Linked DNA regions of Sus scrofa. The main gene of each other region encodes a partner of the protein of the gene in region 2 in a complex. Links are inferred from orthologs where the notes say so. Each region holds a gene or a part of one and is shown on either strand. Other genes may lie near its edges. The genes, in order: antileukoproteinase and ELANE.

What was found.
Region 1: the proteins of ELANE (region 2) and antileukoproteinase are in contact, whole or in part, in a crystal structure (PDB 2Z7F), measured with the Homo sapiens proteins. The link is inferred for Sus scrofa from reciprocal best matches to the Homo sapiens genes ELANE and SLPI. Residues at the interface, in NP_001963.1 of Homo sapiens: His53, Phe54, Cys55, His70, Cys71, Asn74, Val75, Pro111, Val112, Asn113, Leu114, Leu158, Ile165, Leu180, Arg182, Val197, Cys198, Phe199, Gly200, Asp201, Ser202, Ala216, Ser217, Phe218, Val219, Arg220, Gly221; in NP_003055.1 of Homo sapiens: Tyr93, Gly94, Gln95, Cys96, Leu97, Met98, Leu99, Pro102, Phe104, Met121, Cys122.

Annotation. Positions count from the first base shown.
Region 1 is NC_010459.5:47,576,150-47,584,812, reverse strand, and holds antileukoproteinase, read right to left. Parts: upstream 5,733-8,663; 5' UTR 5,684-5,732; coding exon 5,569-5,683; intron 4,673-5,568; coding exon 4,511-4,672; intron 4,119-4,510; coding exon 3,969-4,118; intron 3,201-3,968; coding exon 3,172-3,200; 3' UTR 2,952-3,171; downstream 1-2,951.
Region 2 is NC_010444.4:77,510,406-77,518,817, forward strand, and holds ELANE (neutrophil elastase), read right to left. Parts: upstream 5,714-8,412; 5' UTR 5,687-5,713; coding exon 5,530-5,686; exon of another isoform or gene 5,139-5,529; coding exon 4,982-5,138; exon of another isoform or gene 4,844-4,981; coding exon 4,702-4,843; exon of another isoform or gene 4,564-4,701; intron 4,052-4,563; coding exon 3,821-4,051; intron 3,665-3,820; coding exon 3,458-3,664; 3' UTR 3,364-3,457; downstream 1-3,363. Other genes in the region: CFD (complement factor D), read right to left, coding at 23-280, 363-507, 594-750, 1,259-1,316. UniProt on the Homo sapiens protein: Serine protease that modifies the functions of natural killer cells, monocytes and granulocytes. Inhibits C5a-dependent neutrophil enzyme release and chemotaxis. Promotes cleavage of GSDMB, thereby inhibiting pyroptosis. Promotes blood coagulation.

The DNA.
Region 1 (8,663 bases), on a different chromosome or scaffold from region 2:
CAGTAAGATTTGATCCTCCATATAGACCTTGGGAGGCTCTCAGAGAAATCCTGCTGTCCAATTATTTGATTTTAAATAAACTAGTTAAGAATAAGCTCTAGCCAGAGTGGAAGACTGCGGAGGGACCTCACTATTCACGAGAGCTTTTGGATTTGTGATTGCCCTGTTTTTCAAGTATGTCAAAAGAGCTTTTCAGTTTGTCCCGTTCTCAACACCACATCTTCGTTGCTTCCCCAGACCAGGGATGGCTGAGTCCAGAGTTCTTCCTTTTCAATGTCTTTCTTTTCTTTTTTTAGGGCCACACCTGCAGCATATGGAAATTACCAGGCTAGGGGGCCAATCGGAGCTGTAGCTACCAGCCTACACCACAGCCACAGCAATGCCAGATCCGAACTGCGTCCGTGACCTACACCACAGCTCACCTCAATGCCGGATTCTTAACCCACCGATCAAGGCCAGGGATCGAACCCACATCCTTATGGATACTAGTCAGGTTTGTTACCCCTGAGCCACAACAGGAACTCCTCCTCCAACTTCTTAGAATGTGCCTAAGATATGGGCGTAGACCTGAAGGCCAAACTGCTCTTTGTACAGATATTAAAACGGCATCTCCCCACCTTTACAATCTGCCTCTCTATCCTACTCTTAAGTTTGGAGCCCTTTAGACATTCTACAGGGCTCCTCATAAACATCTCCTGCTGCAAATCATTAGCTTTCAAATTTCTCCAATTTGAAATTTTGATCTCAAATTCTATATTGTAGCCAGTGGGTACAATTTCTAGTTTTTACCCAAGATGGGTTTCTGTTTCTTGCTCTCCATGTCATTGGGTGTGGTTTTGGGAAGAAAAAAAAAAGAGAGAGACAGATTTGTTTTACCCCAACTTTTTTTTTTTTTCCTTAGGGCCACACCCATGGCATATGAAAGTTCCCAGGCTAGGGGTTGAATCAGAGCTGCAGCTGCCGGTCTACACCACAGCCACCACAAGACCAGATCCGAGCCGAGTCTGTGACCCACACCACAGCTCACAGCAATGCTGGATCCTTAACCCACCTAGTGGGGCCAGGGAACGAACCTGTGTTCTCATGGATACTGGTTAGGTTCGTTACCACTGAACCATAGTTGGAACTCCTACCCTAACTTTGATGCCAGAAGTACCCAGGGTGGGGGGATTATATATTCGTTTTATTTTCAAGTATTAAAGCTTGAAGATAAATCATCAGTTTCCATGGTCAAGATTCCCAGTTTCTTTCTTTCTTTCTTTTTTTTTTTGTTAGCTGCATGTTGACATTCCCAGGCCAAGGATAAAATCCACACTGCAATTGCGTGCCTGCACCACAACTGTGGCAACACCGGATCCTTAACCTGTTGCACCACAAGGGAATTTTCCCCAGTTCCATTTTTAATTCCTCTTCCATAGAGAAAGGCGTCATCCTGCATTTGGTCTGTATTCTTTGGTATATACTCATAAACCCTTGATATCTTTTGTGTGATTTAAAAAATATATATGAATACTTCATACTACATGTTTATACCACTAATCTGATTTTCTGGACAAACTTTTCTGTGGTATGTCTCCATAGATTTACATAGATTTGTATAAATTTATTTTTATTTTTCTATAGTATATCAAGATATGAAAATTTAACCATTTCACAAATAAGGGCTCTCTTGATTGTTCTCAATTTCTGACCCTTTGGAACCATCTTACAATAAACATCTTAATATACGTATTAAGTTCCCATTGGCAAATATTTTTTCTTTCTTATATATCTGGAAGGAAACTTGCTAAATTATAGCTTGTGTGAATTTTCAGTTTTATTAGGCATTCTTCTAAGTGGCTGTACCAATTTACACTTCCGTCAGCAAACTATTAGAGTCTCTGAGAGTTTATATTATAGACTTTTAATTCTTGCCATTACAATGGGTAAAAATGCTTGGCTTTTTTTTTTTTTTTCTCCTTGTGTTTTTAGGGCCACACCCGTAGCATACGGAAGTTCGCAGGCTAGGGGTTGAATCGGAGCTGCAGCTGCTGGCCTACACCACAGCCACAGCAATGCAGGATCTAAGCCTTGTCTGCGACCTACACCACAACTCATGGCAATGCCAGATCCTTAACACACCGATAGAGGCCAGGGATCAAACCCGAAACCTCATGGTTACTAGTCGGATTCGTTTCTGCTGAGCCACGACAGGAACTCCGAAAATGGTTGTTTTAATTGTCTTTTTCTTTAAAACTAGTGAGATCGAAGCTCTTTATATGTCTGTATTGGACATATACTACCTCTTCTTTGCTTATTATATTCATAATTGATTTTTCTAAGAGGTGGGCTTCTTTTCTTTTTTTTTTTCAGTCTTTCTTTTGCCTTTTCCAGGGCCGCACCCGCAGCATATGGAGGTTCCCAGGCTAGAGGTCCAATCAGAGCTATAGCTGCCAGCCTACACCACAGCCACAGCAACTTGGGATCTGAGCCGTGTCTGTGACCTACACCACAGCTCACTGAAATGCCAGATCCTTAACCTACTGAGTGAGGCCACCAGGGGTCGAACCTGCAACTTCGTGGTTCCTAGTCGGATTCATTAACCACTGTGCCACGACAGCAACTCCATGCTTTTCTTAACTAATTTGTAGAAATTCTTCACATATTTTATTTCTTTTTTTTTTTTCCCTGAATTTTTTTTTTTTTTTTTTTTTTTTTTTTTGGCCACGCCAGCAGCATGCAGAAGTTCTGGAGCCAGGGATTAAAACTGCACCACAGCAGTGACCTGAGTCAAAGCAGTGACAATGCTGGATCCTTAACCCACTGAGCAAGGCCAGGGATTGAACCCGAAACCTCACAGCTCCTAGTCAGATTCGTTAACCACTGAACCACGACGGGAACTCCCAGATATGGTCTTCTTTATCTTACCCCTCATATCCTAGACCAGACTCAATGAATCAAGGAAGATGGAATTTCAGAGAAAACCTTGAGCATTTATTTATTTGCCAATCAACAGACATTTCCTGCCATGTACCAAACTTCACGTTGGATACTGGGAATACACAGGTAAAATATCCAAAACTTGGCCCCCAACGAAGTATAGGTCACAAAGCCACATCTTCACCAAGGTGTTTTCATTTTTTTCAGGCTTGGGGAAAAAAGAAATCCCCAGACCACATGGACCGGAAAGTCCTAACCGTATTGAACTGGCAAGGATACATCTGAGGAGAGAAAATAAAGCAGAGCCTCAGCACAGGAGCAATATAAGTGAGCCTTCTCTGTTTCCCACCAAGAAGGTCCTTCTGCCACCAGACTAAATTCCTTGGGATAAGTAGGGAGAGAGCATGGTGCTGGAATAGTTGAAATGATGCTGGTCTTTGATCTAGAAATTGGGGGGAAAAAATCCAGGCTTTTCACTGACACTACACTGCAGTCTTTCTTCTGGTAAATCCAAGGCACTGGGCCAGAGCTACATCTGTACCTCTTACTAGTTTTCTGTGGTTGCAGATAACACAGCCAATTGGGGCCATAACCAAAGCAACATTCTTCCAATGCACACAGCACTTCAAGTCTTAAAAAGCACTTTTACACTTAGTATTTCTGTGGATAAAATCGTGCCCATTTTACAGATGGGGAAACTGAGGCTAAGAAAAAGATAGAGTCAGTTTCTCATAGTCATACGTTCAGTCAGAGGCAGAGATGCCATTAAACAATAGACCTTTTGCCCCTTGTATCATGACTTCTTCCTCCTGGCTTATTCCAAAAATCCTTCTTTCCCCAGGACCCAACTGGACCTGTCACAGATGACCTTCAGGGCTTCTTATCTAGAGAACTCTAGGGAGTGAAGGATGTTGAGGGGCAGAGGATCTGCTTGATGGAATGAGCAGTCCTGGGAGACATCAAGCATCCTCCTTCACATGCAAGGGCCCCAGGAGGGTGAGACTATAGGATCCAGGGGGCATGTGGATCTTGCCAGATCTTCTCCTTACCTTTTACCGGCTGGACACATATGTTCCCACATATACCCTTGCAGCACTTGAGACCATTCAGGCAGTTGCTGTCATTCTGGCAGTGGTCTATGGGGTTGAGCATCTTGCACTGGCCAGTGACCACTGGACACTTCCCAGGATTGATCTTAACTGGTAAAAACAAGGCCACAACTTCACTTCCTGGACATCACTCAAGCTCCCACCCTGATCCTATGCATGGAAACAGTTCTTCCTCAACCTCAGGACCCAAACTAAGGCCAGTGCATGTCCTAAAGGAGATTCCTCCCCACCAAGGGCGCCCCAACCAGTGCTTTCAGTGTCTAACAGACAGACTGATTCATTAATTGATTGACTGGTTAGCTGGTTGACGGGCTCACCAACTGACCCACTGCCTACCTGAGAATACAGAGCTAGGGGTGGAGGAGCCTTGGCTCTGCCCCACCCTCCAGCCCAGTTCAGAGGAGCCCCCTCCACTTTTTCAAGATGCATGTCCTCAAGTTCAAATCTCCCAGGTCTCCCTTCTTAGGACTCTACTTCCTCACCTGACTTTGATGGGTTTACAGGATCCAAGCATTTGATGCCACAAGTGTCACGGCAGCATTTTTTCCTCTTTGGACACTGCCAGTCATTCTGGCATTCAGGGGGTTCATATACCAGGCACATTGCAGGGCGTATGAAGGGGCAGGATCCACGTTTAGTTTTTCCTGAAGGGTAACAACAAAGGAGGAAGAAACAGCTGAGGTTGAGTCATGACCACAGTCCTGGACAAGGGACCAGCTTCCCAGGAGAGGAGAGAAAACCCAACCCAGGAGGCTGACCCCAAAGGAATGAAAGGAGCCATTAGGATTCCAGTTTCAAGGCAAGGGTGGAGCAGTGCCAAACTCAGCCAACCACTCAACCAAAAGAGAGACAATGGCACAAAAGAGAAAGGTATGGATGACCGTGTGCTGCTGGATGTTTTAAGAGGGAGACTTTGCAGCATCTGCAGACTCCCATGGTATAAACAGTCCCACCGTGGCTAATTTCAAGCTACCAATGGGACATCAACTAGCTCTCATAAATCTTGCAGATTTTACAGCCAGCCGTTTGAAGCCAGCATAAACCAGCTCCAGTAAGTGGCTGAATAGAGCCCATGAACAAATGCTCCAGGCCCAGGGCTGGCTGGGAGGGAGAAAGAGAAGGGCAGTGAGAGCAGCAGAGGCAACGCATCAGAGATTAAACAAAAGAAAAAAGATCCACTGAGAAGCACATCGAGAAAGTGAGTGACCATTAAGCAAGAAACATTAAGAGAAAAAGACAACAATTTAAAACATTAAAACAGATAGAGACCAAATTAACATGGCAGGAAAGAAGAAGAATAATAAAAAAACACAGTAAAGAAGGTTCTATAGAGAAAGAAAAATAAGAAATACGGGAGTTGGAATAAACAAGTCCATCTGATAAAAGGTAGATTTTTAGCAACTTTCTTAGCTGAAGTCCTCAGAGAGAAGCTTGAAATTAGGGGGCATAGGCCAGACCATTGGAAAGATGCCTTGACGGTCAGCTCCCAGTCTCAAAAGAAGAGGCTGTTCGCACAATGAGCCACCACTGACTGTGGTACCTGGACGTGGCTTTAAAGACTCCGACTCCTCTTCGCCAGCCCCTTTCACAGCCCAGGACGTCAGGAATCCAGAGGCAAATATCACCAGGAAGATGAAAAGGCTGCTGGGCTTCATCGTGAGGGCAGGTGGGGCTGTGGTGGCCTGTGGCAGCTTCCCCCTTTATACCTCCTCCTATGGGTGCGGTTCCCCTCAGAATTGCCTTGAACCCTCCCAGCTGCTATTTCATAAGCAGGAAATTTGGGTGAGGACTGTGACCCCATAGTGTTTATGGCTCTTTTCTGCCCTTAGGCAAGAGCCTGAGGCCCGGGAAGGGAAATGGAGGACTTGGAGGGGGAGGTGTCACCAGGCTGGTCAGGATGCCATTCTGGGACACCTTAGGGGACCCTGCACCACCCACCTTTGGGGTGGAGTAGGGAGGGGCAAAGAGGGCAGAACAGAAAGACATGGCAAAGGAGCTTCTTTGAAGCCTGGAACAGTCAGCAAGCTGGGGCCTCTCAAAGTGTCCTGATTTTGCCACACTCCTGGGCTCTTGGGGATTGCCACATTCGCTGCGAAATCACCACCGCCCGGAGTCACTCCCTTCCCCAAACATCAGGTGACTTTTCTCTCACTCTCTCCTGACCTGTTTTGATGTACTACCTACAGGGCAGTCACACAGAGAAGCCTTGATGAATGACAGGTGAGGAGGGGACAGCAGTCGAAACCGTTTTGGGCCCCAGCCTTCCCAGCTGTGAAGTGGGCATGATCGTGGCTGACTGAGTCACTCAGGAGGATTCGAGTCAAAGAGGGTGGAAGGACAGTGAAGCATGAGCAACTACCGCTTAGCTCTGCGGCCAGAAATGAAATCGGTGTGAAGGGAATCACATTTGAGTTACTTTTTTTAAAAAATTTTTTTGGGGTCTTTTTTTGTCTTTTCTAGGGCCGCACCTGCAGCATATTGAGGTTCCCAGGCTAGGGGTTGAATCGGAGCTGTGGCTTCCAGCCTACGCCACTGCCACGGCAACGCCAGATCCGAGCCATGTCTGTGGCCTACACCACAGCTCATGGCAATGCCGGATCCTTAACCCACTGAGCAAGGCCCAGGATTGAACCTGCAACCTCATGGTTCCTAGTCAGATTCGTGAACCCCTAAGCCATGACGGGAACTCCACATTTGAGCTACTTTTCTTGAGATAAACCGATGGGGCTCTTTTTAGCAGTCAGGGAAATAGCCAGTTAAGAGGGGTTGCCATTTAACATACTCAAAAAATTCTCTCACACCCCCAAATTACCCCCACTGCTCTTTCATGATTATAATGGACTTTTATTGGACCATGGCTACATGGTGAGAAGTTCGTATAGGACAGTTCTAAACAGGAAGTTCTAAATATCAAAAGGAAACCTATTAAGTCAGAAGGAGAAAGACAAATGCCACATGATATCACTTATACCTGGAATCTAATATACGGCACAAATGAACCTAGCAACAGAAATAAACAAGCTCATGGACATGGAGAACAGACTTGTGGTTGCCGGGCGGGGGGAGAGACTGGGCGTTTGGGGTTAGTAGATGCAAGCTGTTTCATTTGGGGGTGGATAAGAAGTGAGAGTCAGCTGTATAGCACAGGGAACTCTATCTGATCACTTGTGGTGGAAGATGATGGAGGAAAATGTGACAAAAACGAAAGAATAGGGATGCATGGCTGGGTCACTTTGCTGTGCCAGAAACTGACAGAACATTGTAAATCAAGTATGATCAAATATTTTTTAAAAAGGGGGCCTATTAAGGTGAAACCAAGAAAAAAATGCACAAAATACAGAAAATAGAATGTAGAGGAGGAAAAGGGAGTCCCCATGATGCTGGTGACAGACCATCTCAGAGTGACAGCTGAGTGCCAGAAATACAGACAGGACAAACTAGCAGTTACAGTGGGGAGAGGGGTTGGGGGGAGGGGCAAAAAGGGGTAGAGGATTAAGAGGCATAAACTATTATGTGTAAAATAAGCTACAAGGCTGTATTTTACTACACAGGGAACATAGCTCATATTCTATAACCATAAGAGGAGTATACCACTTAAAACTGTGAATACTGTCTTGTACCCCTGTAACATGTAATATTTTACATCAATGACAACAAAAAACGTTTTTTTAGGGGTTCCCTTGTGGAGTAGCTGGTTAAATACTTGGCATTGACACTGCAGCAGCCCAGGTTGCTGCTGTGGTGAGGGTTTAGATCCTTGGCCCAGGAATTTCTGCATGTGGCCCCCCAAAAAATTTTAAAGACACTCAAGGAGAAAAAAAATAAAAATAAAAGCATTGTAATTCTCTTTTATTTTTTATTTTTTGTCTTTTCTAGGGCCGTACCTGCGGCATATGGAGGTTCTCAGACTAGGGGTCCAATCGGAGCTGTAGCCACCAGCCTACGCCAGAGCCACAGCAACGTGGGATCCGAGCCGAGTCTGCGACCTACACCACAGCTCAAGGCAACGCTGGATCCTTAACCCACTGAGCAAGGCTGGGGATTGAACCCGAAACCTCGTCATTCCTAGTCGGATTCGTTAACCACGGAGCCACGACGGGAACTCCTATTTTTTATTTTTTAAATACTTATTGAATGTTATTACATTTATAGGTGTACAACATCATCGCAACCAAATTTTACAGCATGTACATCCCTTTAATTCTCTTTTTAAAAGAAGAAGAAACAAAAAATAAAAAACAAAAAAACCCCCAGAGCTACCAGCCCAGATTGGAGGAGGTCAGAGGGCTCCAGGAACTTCATCTTCTGGAAGGTGAAATTAAAGGAATATCTGGCACATATGAATACACAACAAGGAGATATAGGCAACTGGTGCAGAGTTTGTGGTTGAATAGGTGATATGTACACGGAAAACCAAGCAAGTACAAAACTACACAATCTTTTCACATCAGAAAAAAAGTTAAAAGTTATACCAGGAGTTCCCGTCGTGGCTCAGCAGAAATGAATCGGACTAGTATCCATGAGGACGCAGGTTCGATCCCTGGCCTTGTTAAGTGGGTTAAAGATCTGGTGTTGCTATGAGCTGTGGTGTAGTTCGCAGATGCAGCTCAGATCTGACGTGGCTATGGCTGTGGC
Region 2 (8,412 bases):
CTCAGCCCTCCCGCCCTCGCACCTTGCAGCTGTCCCGACGGTTGCTCTCCGCGCACATCATGCGCTCGGTGATGGTGCCATCGTGGTATGTGCGCAGGTTGCAGGTGGTGCGGTCCAGCACCGGTAGGAGCAGGTGCTGCAGACGGTCGGGCCGGCGGCCAGTGTGACTGACCACTCCCCAGCCGGCCACGTCGCAGAGCGTGCCTGCCGGAACCTCGTGGTCCTCTCGTTGCCAGGCAAGGGGCTGCACGGCAGGGCCCAGCTCGGCCTTCTCGGAGAGCTGAGGGTGGGGGCGGAAGCGAGCGTTAGGGGCAGCGCAGCCCCCAGTGCAGCTGGAGGGACTGCGGCTAGACTTAGCAGACCTTCAGCAGGAGGAGATCATGGTCGATGGTGTCAGGCTGGCTGTCTGGGTGGGGCACGGCGCGGAGCACGTCGTACAGGCGCTTCGAGGGCTCGGGCTGTGACAGGGAGTGCGCACCCAGGAGAACCTGCAGCTTCCCCTCGGCCCTGGAAGTGGAGTGGGCTCACATCAGAGCCATGTCCCCACCCGACACCCAATTCCCCCATTCCGCTCTTGGTCCTGGGCCACTCACACGTCCTCCAGGCAGTGTGCTGCACTCAGCACCCACTGCTCAGACACCAGGAAGCCTCCGCACACGTGCTTGCCGTTCACCTGCACCGATGCCATGTAGGGTCTCTCGTGGGACTTGGCCTCCTGGCCACCCAGGATCCGGCCACGGGGCTGTGCCACTGGAGGATGCAGGTCCGAGTGAGGGTGACTGCAGCCCAGACCTCAGATTCCCTCTAAGAGAGCGGCTCTGGCACCCTCAGACTGAAATTCCTTCCTTGGGATCCTCCCCAAAGAGTTGCAAACTCTGGGGGCCCAGGGAGGGATGCTGAAGAAGACAGACCGGGCGGTGGGGAGTGACAGTCTGGGGCAGACTCCGCGTACCTACACACTGGGCCCTAGAACTTCAATATAGACACAGACAAGTGGGGCTGATCAGACCCAACATCCTGCCAGCCGTTTGCTCCCAGCCTGGGCTTTCTGTTGTAGAACCAGAGGCTCTCTGAACTCACTAGATTCAAAGTTTTGAGAATTGCTTGGTTTTCAGAGCCTTCTGTTCATGTGGACCCTGCCCCCTCTCTGCCCACCTAGTGGGGCTGGAGGGCCATCCTCTTGAGCGGAGGGGTCCATGGCTGACTGCGCTGCAGGCTAGGGGCCCCCAGCTGGCACCCCAGTCCCGGGTCCACTCACCACATACAGCTGCTCCGAGGAGGATCAGGGCTGCCAGGTGCCCGGAGCGGTCTGCCATGATGCTGCTGTGGCCTCAACAATGGCCCAGGGCAGGGCTCTGGGGTTCTTTTATGAGGGTGGAACGGGGTGGGGGGGGAGCTCCCACAGGTCCTATCTGCCAAGTGGGCAGTGGCCCAGCTGAACAAAGGGAAGCCGTCCACGCCCTTCTCTCCCCCCACTTCCCCCGCCACAGTGCTGTGATTATCTTCCCCTAGACTTTGTACCAAGAGTAGATGGGCTGCTGGACCTGCCTGCCACCTCTGTCATTCTGTGGGAAGAGCCCCTCAGGATGGGCGGTGGGCAGAGCAGAGGGATGGACCCACCCACCCACCCACCCTGACCCCCAGCCCAGTCTCCCAGAGTGCCCTTCCAGCCCCAGAGTTTCGCAACAGCAGCTGGAGAGCAAGCCCAGTTTGTAAACAACCCACTTCCTCATTTTCTGCCCCTCCCTTCTTTCCCTTCCTCCTGCAACTTGGAGCTGAGGTCGGGTGGGGGGGAAGGTCATCCAACGCCCTTGTCCACATTGCTGTGACTCTGGGGCTTGACACCCTTTAAGTAGAATATTGTTGATGAGTAGGGACAGCTGGAAAGACTGTTGCATACAAGTGACAAAAAAATGGAGTGTAAGGGGCTGGAACCTTCAACAAGAAAATTTAAATGGAAAGTTTATGGGTCTACCTTCAGGTGTAGCTTAATCCAGGCACCTGAACAATGTTTTGTTTCTTTTTTTCCTCCTTGATGGGTTGTCTCCTCAGCAGTCTCCCCTGTTGTGGCCTCAGGGGCCCTAGACTCAGACCAATGGCCCAGTTATTCCCTCTGCCAATTCCCCATCACTCTAGCCAGCATCTCAAGGCGGCCTCTGATTGGTTGAGTTTGGATCTCATGCCCCTAAAGCAGCCATTGTGGGTTGGCAGGTTCTGATGAGCAGAACCTGGGTCACATGGTTCTCTGTAAGCTGGGGATGGTGGGTCAACATCTCATGAACCTCTTCGGGGGAGATGCTGTGTGTAACCACAAGGGTGGGGAGGACCGTGAACGTCCCCAGGAGGAACAGTGCATGGTATTTTCTCCTTTCCTTCTTTTTTCTTCATGGTGGACCATTTCACACATACAGAGAAAAATAGAAAACAGCATAACAAATGCAATTTGTTAGACCCTAAAATGTTTCCTTGCTCAAATCAGAAACTCTAAAACAAAAGCCCATTGGAATGTGGAGTGCAGATTATGTAAGTAAAAGGATTGGAAATTGCAGCAAAATTTGGAAATTACCCAAAAAGACAGAATGGTTCAGTAAATAACCCTGCAGATCCTGGGATGCTTTGTTGACATGGAAAGACCGCCAAGATATCGTATTAAGTGGAAAAAGCAGTTGTAGGGCAGTGGGTCACCTGCCTGAGCAGCTGGCCCTTGTGGGGAGAGGTGTTCTGAGGACAACCTTAGGGAGAAGCTGGAAGGCAGAGGGAACAGCACTAGTTAAGACCCTGAGGTGTCCCAAGGCAAAAGGTTGGGGAAGTGGAGGAAGGATTGTTTCCGTACCCAGTGAGGCCGAGACTGGCCTGGACCCCAACCCCTGATTGGGTCCTCCCCAGACAGTGCCTCAGTCTTCCCCATGGGGAACTGAGAATCAGAGAAACAGTGAGCAATTTGCCCAAAGTCACAGAGCTGGGACTCGAACCCAGGCCCTGGAGCATGACTTTACAGTTCTTTGCATCTCTACTTCCTCGCCTGTAAAACAAGGCACTTATATAAGAACTACTTTAGGGGCTGGAGCCAGAAACAGATGAGTGAAGATTGCAAAGATTCAGAATGATCCTTGTGACTCAGAATGAACACCTGCTATAGTGCTTTGCATTCTTGCCACCTGCAACAAGAGTCTAATGACATTTTATAGGAGGGGAAGCCAGAAACGGCTACTGGTATCCTTTAGTGAAGTATGAGGAAGGGACTTTTTATCTTGGTGCACTAAATTTGCTGCTACTTGGTAGCAGCGTACTTGTGACATGCTCAAGACATTCACCTGAGGACTTCTGACACTCAGTTGCACAACCAACAAACACCCAGGCACATTCTACAAAACAGGGTTTTTATTGTGTCAGATGCTGCATGATGCTGCATGGGAAGAGCCCAGCCGGGGGGAGTGGGGTAACAGGGGCCGCCTTTCTAGAGGGTCCTGCCCACAGGGATCCTGGGGTGGAGAGGCGGGCTGTCATTATCACCATAGCGTCGGATAATGGAGTTGATCCAGTCTGCAAACTTGGCGGTGGAGGCAAAGGTGTCTGGGAAGAGCCCAGAGCCACAGCCCCCCCGGATGAAGGAATCTATCCCCTGGACCAGCCCATTGCAGACCAAGGGCCCGCCGGAGTCCCCCTGTGGAAGCAGACAAGTTTGGGAGGCTGGGCTTTCAGGCCCCACCCTAACATCCCCACCCACTGCCCTTCAGGAGCTGGAAGTTCTTCCAGGGGTCTTGGTTGCTGCAGCCTGGGTGGGAGCAAGGGGTGGGTTGTGGGAACGCAAGATACGTACAAAGCAGATGCCAGCCTGCCGGCCTGGTACCAGGGTGCACACATTGGTGGGGCGGCAGAGGGCTGTCACCACAGTCACATTGAGCTGCTGCAGGACTCGGGGCGGTGGCCGGTTCGTGCCCAGCTGGCCCCAGCCCATGGCCAGACATCGCACCCCTTCCCCCACGCCTTGGTCCTGAGCAGGTAGCTGGGCCACCTGCACGTTGCTATTGATGAAGGCAAATCTGTTGAGCTGCAGCAGGTTGTACAGAGCAGTGGCAGGTCACAGGAGGCAGTGAACAACAACCTTCATCTTTCTGGGCCCCAAGTTTTCCCCCACCCAGGGCTCCACCATGGTCCTGGGATATCTGAGAGCCAGATATCCACCCTGCAGGATGGTTCCCACCCTTTCCTGTTTGTAAAGTGCGAGCAGCCACTGTGACCCAGGGCATCCCCAGACATGTTTTGAGTCCAGTAAACAGTAGGTACTCAAGAAAACAAAACTATGGGTAACACCACCAGCAATAAAGCCATTGTTCTAGAACTTTACAGAAAATAACCATAGCTATTCAAGCAGTGGGGAAGGACAGTTCTCTCCCTCCAGTCTCCTATTCACATGAACGTGGAGAATTTTGACCCTATTTCCACGGACCAAGAGGTCCCTGCGCCTCATCCCTGTGGGCTCCAGAAATACTATCCTTATTGATTGACAGTTGCTCAGAGCTTCCCTGCTGTCCTGGCATCTGACTTATTTCCGTCTCACAGAGGGGAAGACTGAAGCACAGAGAGATGGGACACCAGGCCTGTCCTCACCGTGTCCCCAGTCTCCTGCCCATGCTCCGCCCTCCCCAAACTAAGCTGGGCCTTTGCACCTGCCAGTTCTTCCCCACCCGCGCCTCGCACCTGGAGAACCACAATGTCGTTCCGCAGGGTCATGGGGTCGAAGCCGTTTTCAAAGACCCGCTGGATTCTGAACTTCTGCCTGGTGGACTCGCCCCGTCGCAGGTTGTGTGCCCCCAGAACCACGCGCACGGACCGAAAGTTTCTGGGGCAGGAGGAGGCGATTGAGTCGTCACCCGTGCGGGCGCAGGGGTCCCATAGAGCCGCGCACCTCGGCCGAGGCCCCCAGCCCCGGCCCCGCGAAAACTGGAAACTGAGGTTGCGGGGGTGGGGGTACACTCACAAGCCGTTCAGACAGTGCGCGGCCGACAGGACGAAGTTCCGCGCTATGAGGGTGCCGCCGCAGAAGTGGCTTCCGCGCCGCTGCAGGGACGCCATGAAGGGCCATGCATGTGGCCTGGCCGGCCGGCCCCCCACGATTTCCGAGGCCAGCGCGGGGCCTGGGGGCGCAGGCGGTGGGGGCGGTGAGCCGCGCGGAGGAGCCCCGCCAAGGTCAGTCGGCCAGTGAACCCCCACAAGGCAGCCACCCTGTCCCTAGAGGGGAGTGGCCTGCATGGTCCCCCTGCAGGGCGCAGCTAGAGCTTTAGACTTCACCCACTTCGAGTCCCCGGAGGGTGCCTAGAGACCCCCACCTTCCCACCTTCGAGTCCCGGGGGGGTGCCTAGAGACCCCACCTTCCCACCTTCGAGTCCCCGGGGGGTGCCTAGAGACCCCCACCTTCCCACCTCACCCCAACTGTCACTCCCCATGAGGATGAGGGACCAAGAAGGTGCAGAGTAAGAGGAGAGGCAGGACTGGATGCCCTTAGGAGACCTGCATGGCCCCACTCACCGCCCAGCAGCAGGGTCAGTAGGACCGGGGCCAGGGCAGGGCTGGAGGGTCTGCAGCTCTGGGTCATGATTGGGCTGGGGCAGCAGTGACTCTGCTCTTGGAATCCCCTTGCCCCTCTTATAACCCCCCTGCCTCGAGGCCGTTGAGGTTGCCCCATGGTGGGGCCAGGTGCCCCCACTTCCTCTCCGCCCTCTCCCAGTGCAGGGGATATGGGGGATGAGGGAGTGGTGGGAAGAATCCGGGAGGAGGACGGGAGCAGGGGGTCAGGCTGGCTCCAGAAGGTCACCAGATAAAACTCAGGACGCACAATACAATTGGAATGTCAGATAAACTTTTTTTTTTTTTAAGTGTAAGTATATCCCAAATATTGCACAGCATATACTGATCTATATAAAGTCAGTCTTTATCTTTCCAACATTCAGAATTAATGAGCTTCCTGTGTTTTTGCTAAATCTCCCCAACCTAGGCCCAAAGGACTTGGCTGGGATGCCCACGTGCCTTGGTTTACCCAGGTCCCTGTAATAATGGCAGCCCCCCAGCACTGTCCTGACATTTGGGAGGCATGGCAGGGCCTGCTGGGTCCCCATTTAAGAGGGGGAAACTGAGGCACAGTGAGCCACCATCCCCACCCCCTCCGCCCCTGCAAACCACCTACCCAGTGATGTGGTGGGGGAACTGGGGTTCAAACTCAGATGTCCACAGGTCACAGCAGGAAGGTAACTTGCTACCTCCTCTTCCAGCCTTGGGTCTCTCTCTTGGGGCCTGATTTCCATCTTTTCTTTGGTTGTGGCTCCTAACAGGGAACTCACTGCCACCCAAGGCTCAGTCTCTGGTGGCCCTCAGAGGTTCTGGGACACCCCCACCCCCTGCTTTGAGCTTCTCTGAAGCCACTTCCAGCCTGAGGCAGTGGAAAAAAAATTCCCACCCAGGCCTGGCAGCTGGACCATGGCTCTCCATCCAAGTTTGAGAGCTTTGGCCAGACCTTGGAAGAACTTAAGCCAACAGTAGAGATGGGGTCCGTCAGGGCCAGTCCCCAGCCCAGGGGCCCCTGTTCCCCTTCCCACCTCCCCCCGGCGGCTGCTCCAGCTGCAACGGCCATAGCCAAGGCTGTCGCAAGAAGCAACGTTCTCCTGGCTTGGAGCAGGGTTCAGGGGAGGGAACCAACGGATCCATCTGCAGAAACAGGCAGGCGGGGGCACCCAGGGATGCCCAGAAGCAGGCTGGGGCTGAAGTCCAGTTTGTCCCTGGGCCCCCTTGGTGTGTGGCCACAGGCAGGTGAACCCCCATCTCTCTCCAGTACACAGCAGACGCTCAGTGTCCACCCTTCGTCCCTCCCCTGGGCTGAGGCACATCAGCCCGTCTCAGCTCCCTTCCTTCTCGATTGAGTTACAGCCACCATAGAGCACATGTTATTTATTTTTTCAATGATGATTTTTATTTTTTCCATCATAGCTGGTTTACAGTGTTCTGTCAATTTTCTACTGTACATCAAGTTGACAGTTACACATAACATATATACATACTTTTTTCTCATTATCATGCTCCATTGTAAGTGGCTAGATATAATTCCCAGTGCTATACAGCAGGATCCCATAGAGCACTTGTTAAACGCCTGCTGCATACACAACCTGTTTCCAATCTTGGGGTGGGGCAGGATGGAGGAGGTCCAGACTTTGGGGGATGCGCTTCAGGCAGGGATATTTAACCAAAGCTGCTTCTATTGAGCACCACCTGTATACTCCATTCTCAGTGGTTATAGAGGTTAAGCACCTGGCTTCTGGGTTCAGAGGGTGGCGTGGCCACTTGCCCACCATGACTTCATGCTACAGACAACTCCGTGCCTTGGTTTCCTCATCTGTAAAATGAAAGTGGTGATAGGAGTTCCTGGTGTGGCTCAGTCGTAACGAACCCGACTAGTATCCATGAGGACGCGGGTTCCATCCCTGGCCCCCTTCAGTGGGTTGAGGATCCGGTGTTGCTCTGAGCTGTGGTATAGGTCATAGACACAGTTCAGATCCCGTGTTGCTGTGACTGTGGCATAGGTTGGCAGCTGCAGCTCTGATTCAGCTTTTTAGCCTGGAAACTTCCATATGCTGCAGGTGCAGCCCTGAAAAGCAAAAAAAAAAAAAAAAAAGTAAAACAGAAGTGATGATAATCAGTCGCCAACTCACAGGATTGTCCCAGGATTAAATGAATGAACTTTTGTGAAGTTCTTCAGTAAGAAAGTGAGGTCCTTGAGGGTCTGTTAACCATTAACCACCCCCTGGAGGGCAGGGCCAGGCGTCTGGGGGAGCCTGATTCACCATCAGAGTGTGATGACGAAGTGGCGGCACCTCACTTGATCTTTGTTAAAGGAAAACGACACTCTGAGTGTCCTTCCCACTGCTGGAGGCCAGGAGACCCCGGAGCTGTGGGGAGTGGCCCTGCTCTCCCCAAACATCCTGTTTATTATTTTTTTTCTTTCTTTTTTTTTTTTTTTTTGATTTTTAGGGCTGCACCCGTGGCATATGGAGGTTCCCAGGCTAGGGGTCTAATTGGAGCTACAGCTGCCGGCCTACACCACAGCCACAGCAACGTCATGTCTGAACTGTGTCTGTGACCAACATCACGCACACAGCTCATGGCAATGTCGGATCCTTAACCCACTGAGCAAGGCCAGGGATCAAATCCACAACCTCATAGTTCCTAGTTGGATTTGTTTCTGCTGCGCCATGAGGGAACTCCTGTTTATTATTTCTATTTATTATTTCTGTGGATTTGTCCTTCCCTGAATCTGCAGAACCCCAGCAAATCCACCCGTGGCTCCAGAGCCCCCAACCTTAGCTCCCCTTCTTGGGTGTGATCTTTTTTATTTTTGTGGCCCCACCTGGGGCATATGGAAGT